Macaca fascicularis: one gene and its partner. The protein of the gene in region 1 interacts with the protein of each later gene in a biochemical or structural test. Links are inferred from orthologs where the notes say so. Each region holds a gene or a part of one and is shown in the gene's direction. Other genes may lie near its edges.

Region 1 (4,526 bases):
AGACCATCATTCCTCATTAGAGGATAATTATGAGATCAGGTGTGACCACAGGTGCATGCCTTCAGCACAGGGTCTATGCCAGCTCCCTCCCGCCCACGTAAAGGCCTGCCACTAGGTGGCAGTCCATCTCAGCTACCCCACCGCTCCCTAGGCCAAAGAAGCTGGCTAGGACAAAGTGTCTCAAAGTCATGCTGAATTCTGAGCTTCTTAGGGGATGCACTTGAGGATATCAACGAAACACACAAGTTTCCACTACAGCAAGACAAAGTCAGAAGCAGCAGCCCCAGGTCACTATCCAGCTGAGTAGGTTGCCTGAGCACACACTCTTACATACTTACAAACTCTAGTCCTACTATCCCACAAATCCCAGGAAGCCTGGCTCTTTCTCTGGCATCAGCTGGAAGCTCTGTTGGGCTTCTCACCTCTGAAATGCAGTAAGTTGTCCTGCTGTGTCTGGCAGCCGACCCACTGCCTGGCTCAACATATCAGACTCCACTGCGACCGTTGGTGTCCTCAATTTTGGCGGTGCTGACAGCGGCAGATAGATTGCAGGGGTGAGTTTCAAGAATGGCTTCAGAAAGACGAAGAGTATGAATTATTCCATAACCAGAAAAAGGCCTTGTGGCTGGAGAATGGAGAGCGAAGGATCACTTGTGAGAGATGAAACTGGTGAGATGGGCAGGTCATATAGAACCTGCTAGGCCAAGCAGCGAGTGTGGATTTTAGGTGCAATAGGAATTCATGGAGGGTTCTAGGCTGGATGTAGGGGATCATTATTTAATTTCATTGTAAAGACTTAAAGCATGGAGAATAGATCCAGGCAAAACAAAAGTGAATAGTCTGGGTGACAGGAGATGGGGCCTTCAGCTTGTGGGTTCAGTGAACAGATCTTGATGGATTGGAGGTGAGGCAGAGGGAGCAAAGTTATCTGCAAGGTTTTTGGCCTTCCAACTTAGAGGAGTTTAGCGCCACGTTCTGAGAAAGTGAAGACTGGAAAGAACCGTTTGGGGAGGGAAGGTGAGCTGTCTAAGGTGGGGGGATGTGGCACATGCAGTGGGATGCTGGGGCCTGGAACGTAGGGGAGATGCAGGTTTCGAGTCATCGGTGCCTGTGTGGCGGGTAAAGCCAGGGGAAAGGTCAGGTCGCCTTGGGATCTGGCCTAGCACTGAGTGCAGAGGAAGAGAAGCTTCTGAGATCGAGAAGCAGCGGCCACAGGAGGAGGAGGAAAGTAAGGCGGGGAAAATCAAAGTTCAGGAGAGCATTTGCAGGAGGGGCGCCCGGGATCAGACTCCAGTCCCGCCGCGTGGAGACGGAGCGTACAGAGGCCCATGCGAAGGACAGACACAAAGGCCCTGGGAGCTGCAGGTCAGGCCGCTGGGCAGCGCGGCCGCGGACTTAACGCCCCTGCAAGGGGCTGGGGGGAACTCTCCGAACGAAAGGACCACTGAAGGCCACCCTGGCAGCAGAGGCGGAACAGACAGACGTGGGTCTGGCCGTCCCAAGAGCGGCCAGGGGCCAGCCCCGCGCTGCCGGGGGGCGGGACATGTCGGCTGTCCATCAGTGCCTGCGGCCAATCCGCAGGCGGCCCCGCCCCCGCCCCTCTCAGGAGAGGGCGCGCGGAGAACCCGCTGCCACCGCCGGTGTGAGGCGGCCCGGCCTGGCTCCCTTCGCCGGGAAGCCCGCCCAGGTAACTGGGTTTGGCCAGGCATGCCCGGAGGACGCGCCACCTCCTCGCGTCCCGTCCTGGTCGCTGCATGGGCGGTGTTCGGGACGCGGGGGCTGCGTCTGTGCGGGACCGCGGGCTGGCAGACGCCCGTGCGAGTACGCCTGACTGGCGCGCCGGCTGCGGGGCCTGCGGCCTGTGGGCGGGGCTGCCGTGCGTGACAGGGCCGCTCGTGGCCGCCGGGCTGTGTCCGGGGCTGCGTGAGAAAGCTCTGCGGGACTGAGGGCTGGGTGGGTCGACCGGGAACGGCGCGCGCTCCCGCCGCCATCGAGCCTCCGTCCCCGCCTGCGGCCTGTCTGGGGGTCGTGGGGCGCAGGCGCAGCGGGCCGGCGGGCGGGGGTCCTCCCCACGGGTGCGCGGGCGCCTTTGTTCCCGGCGCGCGAGCGGGGCGGGGCCTCAGGGCCGCCCCGCCCCGCCCTGCCGCGCTCAGGCCCCGCCCCGTGTCCGCCTGCAGGAGCAGCCGCCGGGTCCCGCTCGTCGGCCGCCTCAGCCTCAGCCCCAACCTCAGCCGGCGTCGTTGCGCCTGCTCCCGGGCCGTCCCGGCCTGTGCCGTCGCCGCCCCCAGCGTCGGAGCCATGGCGGGCGCCGCATCCCCCTGCGCCAACGGCTGCGGGCCCGGCGCGCCCTCGGACGCCGAGGTGCTGCACCTCTGCCGCAGCCTCGAGGTGGGCACCGTCATGACTTTGTTCTACTCCAAGAAGTCGCAGCGACCCGAGCGGAAGACCTTCCAGGTCAAGCTGGAGACGCGCCAGATCACGTGGAGCCGGGGCGCCGACAAGATAGAGGGGGCCAGTAAGTGCGCCCCCTTCCTGCTTGGGCCCGCCGCGCGCTAGGGTCGTGGGAGCCCGGCCCAACTGCCTGCGCCCCGGCCGGCCGCCCCAGCGACTTGGGCAAACTTTCGGGCCTTCCCCCACCCCCTCGGGGCCCCGCCCCCGCTTCGTCTCGGGTGGTCACTGGGGGCGGGGGGCATCCGGGTCCTCGGTCACCTGACAGGACACCCCCTCCCCCAGCTGGGGGGAGTTACTGTTCCTGGAGCTTTGCCCTGAGGCCTAAAAAATCCTCGCGGGCTGGAGATCTGCGGTGCGGGCATCGGGCCCCCCCAGACCCTGGGAGTGGTGGTGGCATCGTTGAGGGGAGCTAAGGCAGCGGCCCCAACCCAGCACGGGAACCTGGGGCCTGACCAGACGGTCCCCGCCCACCACTCTTTTTCCAGAAAGAGCAGTCTCTGAAACTCTCCGGGCCCCCAGGCTGGGCTCTTGGTTGCAAAGGAACCTTTGGGTTCCCTAAGTAGAACTTAGGCAGATGTTGGGTAGGGCTGGTCTTGGAGCGGAGCCGGGCCTACTCATCTCCCTCTGGGGGAGAGGGAGGAAGGTGGTCTTGTTTGGTTTGGAGAAGCCTGAGAGAAGGCAGTGGCTGTTTTTTTTGGTTTTGTTTTGTTTTGTTTTGTTTTGTTTTTAATGCTACTTTTGTCCCAAAGCTGAGTTTTGGAAGCCTATGTGGGTGGGCAGACACTCAGTGCCAGAACAGGGACTCCCCTTGCCCTGGGAAGCACGTTCCCAGAAGATGGGCCCCATAAAGGCCTGCCCCAGCGCCTTGGAGTCAGGTACTCTTCTCAGGAGTGCAGCTAGTTTGGAGTCTAGCCCTTTGTCCTCTGTCCGGTGGCTTCAGGGAGCGGGAGCGGCTTCTCTTGGTTTCCTGCCTTTTCGCCTTCCCAGGCCTGAGCTTGGCTGCTTTTGTGCTGGTCTGTAGTGGGAGGAGGGAGTTGGGGGATTTTGAAAAACCCCAGATCTTTGAGAGTTGTTCCACTTAGCGCGTGCCTGTGCTGTGGTCGGATGGGCACTCTGCTTTGCCACTCCATTCCCCCGCCTCTCAGTGTGAAGAGATGGTGTGTCTGCAACTCCAGACTAGGTTGCTTCTTGCAGGGACCCCCGGAGACTGGGGTTAGACCCGGGCTCAGAACCAGGTCTGTGTGAAGGAGGGGGATCAGGAAGTGACACCCCAAAGGGGGGGTCCCACAAACCTTCTTGGGTATGGTGTGCATGTGTGTAGATGGTTGAGGAGATTGGGAGGAAGGAAGGTCTTGTGGTGAGGCAGCCAGCCATCCTCAGCTACAAACTCCAGATCTGACACAGATCTAACGCAGCTGCTCAACTTAGAAATGGCAGCCGCCTTCCTCAGTGCCCCCACTGACCCTGTCAGCCACTGGGAGAATATTTTAGTGACTTGAGAGCCTGTGGATTCCAAAGTAGAGGAAGGATGGGCACTGCAAAGAGCTGAGATAATCCTGGGAACGTCACTCAGGCATCAGACTCCAGGCATGGTCCCCTTCCTTGCTCCCTATGCTGTGTTGAGTTGGTGGCACTGGCTGAAAGTTCTCAAGAGATCTCCTGGGTAACAGACTGCATTTTAAACCATGCATATTAGCAGGCAATAAATGTAGCACAGTGGTTGATGGCAAGTCTGGATTTGAAGCCCATATATTTGTTGTATGTTTCCCAGCCAGTTACTTACCTTCTCTGAGCCTTGATTTCCTCATCTGTAAAATGGGGGTAGTAATATATCCACTATATATGGTTGCTCCAGGATCAAATGAGACAATTCATGTAAAAATATCTAGCATTGTCTGACACATAAATGTTTAATAAATGTGAGCTGTTATTAGTAATAACATTAACAATAGACCATAGCTGCCCTTCAAGACCCTCAACTGGGAATGGTGAGGGGGTGAGGTGTGGCTGGAGGTAAGGGTGAAGGTGCAGGAAGGGAGGAGAATGGTGACCAAATTCACATTTCACTTAGACTG
Region 2 (4,541 bases), on another chromosome or scaffold:
CAGATCCGTTTATCAGACTGAGGAAGTTCCCTCCTATTCCTGGTTTGTTGACTGTTCTTATCATGGAAGAGTGTTGAATTTTGTCAAACACTTTTTCTTCATCTGTCAAAATCATGTGGTTGTCCTTTATTCTATTGATATGGTGTATTACATTCATTGTTTTGAATATTAAACCATCCTTGCATTCCTGGGATAAATTCCACTTGGTCTTGGTGTAGAATCCCTTTTATATGTTGCAGGATTCAGTTTGCTAGTATTTTGTTGAGGATGTTTATGTCTATATCCATAAGGGATATTGGTTTGTAGTTTACTTGTGATGTCTTTGTCTGATTTTGGTATTGGGATAATGCTGGCCTCATAGAATGAGTTCCCCTCCTCTTCTATTTTCTGGAAATTTGTGAAGGAGCTGTGTTCTTTTGAGCCAACTTTTGAGGGCTGGGTTAGTTCAATTTCAACTTTAGGCTGTGGCAACAGCATGGGCTGAGGCCTGCAAGTGGGTGCTTGCTCGATTCAGGCAACTGGAGCCATAGGGTCCGGCTGGCATAGGAGCACAGAAGGTAGAGGGCAGGAGTGACTGAATCAGGGAGGGCCAGTTTGGCATGAGGAGGCCCTAGAGGTTTAGCACTGAGCAGTGATGGGAATGGTGTGCATGTTGATTCTATGCTGGGTGGGGGGCTGGAGGCCCGGGAGGCCTGAGGAGAGGAAGTGGAGGGGGCTGCCAAGAGGCAATGGAGAGGGGCCTGGCAGGGTGGCTGGAAGGAGGTGGGAGCCTTGAGGCAGGCCAGACAAGGGCACAGAGATGGGACAGAGCCTTGAAAGCTGGGTGCAGTGGGAAGCCCAGAGAGCGGGCCTGAGGTGGGGCCTTGAAACCAGGGTGGGTGCCCCAGATGGACAGCTAGGTGAGGTCAGGCCCAGGCTTATAGAGCCACACCTGTACCTGGTCCATCTTGGTGGCAGCCTGTGTGCAGGTGGAAGATGGAGGAGGCAGGATGCCTGGGAGGCCAGCAAGGGCCTCTGCTGGCCTTTTGCCACCCCAGGGGACTCTCCTGGGTGAGGCGCCTGCATATGGGCAAGCAGGTGGGAGGTGCCAAGGACCAGACCCCTGGCTCCTTGGGGAATCTGGGGCTGAAGGCCCAAGGAGTCCCGCAGGAAGCTGAGGTGAGGGCGGGGCACGTGCCAGATCCCTTGCCCTGCTGCCGCCCTCCGTGCAGGTGCCGTTTTAACAGAGGCCACTTTCCCGAGAGAGCTGGTCAGATAGAAGGGCCCGACGAGATGGGACCTGGGCAGGGCCTCAGAGCCGAGGCCCTCGCGCCTGCCGTGGATTTCCAACCAAGCTGTGTGGACTCGCAGGTGCTGGGGGAGTGGAGCAGGAGGCTTCGTTTGCATCGAAGGCTTCTTGATTCCAGGCTGCACCGACAGATGTGGGCCTCCTGTCCCCAGCGCCCACCACCCTCCTTGCAGCGTGGGGAAACTGAGGCCTGCAGGGGGCGGCCGCGCACGGTGACGCAGCAGGGGGCGGTGCCGGGAGGGGCGGGCCCGGGATCCTCACCTGCCCGCCCCGTCCCCCGCCGAGAGGGGAGGAGCCGGCGGCTGCCGGGCCAGGGCCGGCGGGCGCGGCGGGCATGGCGGGCTCCGGGCCGCGGCCGCGGAGCTGGGGCCGGCGGGAGGCGGGCGCCCGGGATGAGGCGGCGGCGGCCGGGGGGCGCGGCCCGGGGCCGTGCCGGTGCTCGCAGGGGAGGCGGGCGTGGACCGCCCCGGGGAAGCCGGCCGTGCCCGCCGCGTGGACGCCGTGAGTACCGAGCACCGAGCACCAGCCCCGACTCCGGGACGCGGGCCTCTAGCTTCCGGGTCTGGACCTCGCGCCCCGACCCCCTGGACCCGGGCCGCGAGCCCCGGGCGCTGCTGGTCGCCCACGCGCTTCTTGGGGGAACAAAGGCGGGCGTGGACCGTCCCAGCTGGCGGGTGGGGGGCTCAGGCCGGCACGGGGCTTGTCGGTCTGCGGGCAGCTCTCCGCGGGCGGACCGGGCACGGGGCTCCCCCCTCCATCCCCACTGCGTGGAGCTCCCTCGGGCCGAGCGCGGTAGGGCGAGCGCTGGGGTGTGGCGGCGCCTTTGTTCCAAACCTTGGCCTGTGGTTGGGGGCCCTGCGGCTGGGACCCGCCCAGAGGGGCTGGCTTTGGGTGCAGAGGGAGCTGGTGGGGTCCAGCCGGGTGACCCAGGCCGAGGCCGGCAGAAGACAGCCTGATGCCTTGGAGACTTCCTCTTGCACTTGTGCTGGTTTGCTAAAAGCGGAGAGTACTTTTCTTTTTATTTATTTTGTTTTTAATTTTTTATTTTTAGCTCCAGCTCTGTTGCCCAGGCTGGAGAGCAGTGGCCAATCATAGCTTACTGCCTCCTGGAACTCCTGGCTCAATAGATCCTCCTGGATTAGCCTCCTGCAGGGACTATAGGTGTGCACCACCAAGCTCAGCTAATTATTTTTTAGAGATGGTGGTCTCTATGTGTTGCCCAGGCTGGTCTTGAACGCCTGAGCTCAAGTGATCTGCCTGCCTTGGCCTCCCAAAGTGCTGGGATTACAGGCGTGAGCCACTGTATCTGGCTGTTTTATTTATTTCTAGAGACAGTGTCTCGCTTTGTTGCCCAGGCTGGAGTGTGGTGGTATGATCACAGACCACTGCAGCCTCAAACTCCTGGGCTCCAGTGATCCTCCTGCCTCAGCCTCCTAGAGCAGCTGGGACTACAGATGTGCCCCACCATGCCTGACTAATTTTAAAAAAAAAATTTTTTTTTTTTTTTTTTTTTTTTTTAGAGATGGTGTCTTTCTATGTTGCCCTGGTTTAGTTTTCTTTATGTGTGTTTTTTGGGGTTGGAGCTGTAGTGGAATCAGTCCCAGCCCCACTGGGCATCTGGATCTGACCTTAGCTGCTCCATTAAGGGCTTAACAGGACACTGGCCACAGGCCTGCTCCCATCCAACTCCACTGGGGCCCCAGGAGGGACCTACCCAGGATGGAATGAGGGCAGGCACAGACCAAACAATGCAGGGTGGGGGTACTGTTCACTGGGATCAGAGGTGAGGAAGATGCTGGATTTAAGTGGGCAGTGAGGGTGCCTAGCAGAAGAGGAGACTCTCAACCTGGGTCTTGATGGATGAGTAGAAGTTCTCTGCATGGGAAGGGGTGGAGGTCATTTCAGGCAGAGGAGGAAGCATTAAACAGCATGGTGGATCTCAAGGAGAGCAGCTGGAGCATGAGTAAGGGTGGCTGGAGTAGGGGGCAGGGCATGACGTTGGGTCTGGTGGGCCTGGGTTAGCCCCAAGGCAGTCACTGGTCCTCCACTGACTGTGTGGTCCTTGCTTGGGCTCAGAGGGAATGGCAGTGATATCCTGGGCTGGTGGGGTGAATAGCAACCAACCCACCAAATGGTGGTCACGGCCACTGCTGACCACAGTGTGCTGTGTGCTGGGCTGGGTATCCACTCTGTTCTCCAGCAACTGAGTCTTGGGTTCTCCCAGGACGGGAGTCCGGGTCGTTTGACCTGGGAACTGGGGGCTCTTGGCTGCTCACTTGCCTTCTTCCTGTCTAGGCCCCTTATAGGCTCATCTGGCACTGGGACTTGAAGTAGTTATGGCCTGAAGTCTGACTTACCTGGACTGGGGTTTTCTGAGTTCTTTCATCTCTACCCAGCCCCAACGGGGCCTTGCACTCAGTTGCTGTGTGCAGAATGAACCAGTGGAGAGAAAGGGCTGCACGTAGCACTCAGGATCCTGGGGTCGGGTGTGTGGCCGAGTGGACCAGGGGCTGACTGAGTGGACCAGGTGGCTCTGTCTCTCCTTGGGGTCCCACCCGGAAGCCCAAGGCCTGCAGAAAAGGGGTTTCCTTGCCTGTCATGGCCCCACCCTCCATGCTGTGTCCTGGATCTTGGCAGTGTCCCCATGAGCGCCCTGGCTCAGCCATCTCCTGCCTGACCGTAGCTGAGCCTCATGCCTTTGTTCTTTATTGCAGCTTCATGGCGGCTGAAGAGATGCATTGGCCTGTCCCTATGAAGGCCATTGGTGCCCAGAACCTGCTAACCATGCCTGGGGGCGTGGCCAAGGCTGGCTACCTGCACAAGAAGGGCGGTACCCAGCTGCAGCTGCTCAAATGTGAGTCCCCAGGGTGGCAGGGAGCACAGTGGGAGGGCGTGGGGGCAGGGCTGGCCATGTACATGTACGTGGGCATCCTCTCTGAACCTCTGCTTCCTCACGTGGTGGGCCCTCTGGATTTTCCCGTTCCCTCTCTGGTGGCTGGCACCCCTGGAGAACCAGAGGTTGACCTCCCTAGCCCCAGGACTGTAGCAGGGTCCAGGGTGGTGCACACTGCTGGCCAGCTGGCAAGGGGAGCTGCAGCCTGCAGCCAGGACCCAGGGACCACAGATGGCCAGGTAGGTCTGGCCTCTGGTGCTGCCCTCACCGAATCCGTGAGTGTTCAGCGAGTTAGTTGGTCACTTGGCCCACAGTGAACCTATGTGTGAAGTCCTGGCTGGGTGCTGGACCTCTGGAGCT

The links.
Region 2: the proteins of PLCG1 (region 1) and SH3BP2 form a complex in vitro, tested with the Homo sapiens proteins (2 studies listed by BioGRID, with this or other methods). The link is inferred for Macaca fascicularis from reciprocal best matches to the Homo sapiens genes PLCG1 and SH3BP2.

Annotation. Positions count from the first base shown.
Region 1 is NC_088384.1:97,242,099-97,246,624, forward strand, and holds the start of PLCG1 (1-phosphatidylinositol 4,5-bisphosphate phosphodiesterase gamma-1), read left to right. Parts: upstream 1-1,604; 5' UTR 1,605-1,687; intron 1,688-2,175; exon of another isoform or gene 2,176-2,177; 5' UTR 2,178-2,298; coding exon 2,299-2,515; intron 2,516-4,526. UniProt on the Homo sapiens protein: Mediates the production of the second messenger molecules diacylglycerol (DAG) and inositol 1,4,5-trisphosphate (IP3). Plays an important role in the regulation of intracellular signaling cascades.
Region 2 is NC_088379.1:2,996,998-3,001,538, forward strand, and holds the start of SH3BP2 (SH3 domain-binding protein 2), read left to right. Parts: upstream 1-1,574; 5' UTR 1,575-1,622; coding exon 1,623-1,789; intron 1,790-1,960; exon of another isoform or gene 1,961-2,080; intron 2,081-2,857; exon of another isoform or gene 2,858-3,251; intron 3,252-4,002; coding exon 4,003-4,142; intron 4,143-4,541. UniProt on the Homo sapiens protein: Binds differentially to the SH3 domains of certain proteins of signal transduction pathways. Binds to phosphatidylinositols; linking the hemopoietic tyrosine kinase fes to the cytoplasmic membrane in a phosphorylation dependent mechanism.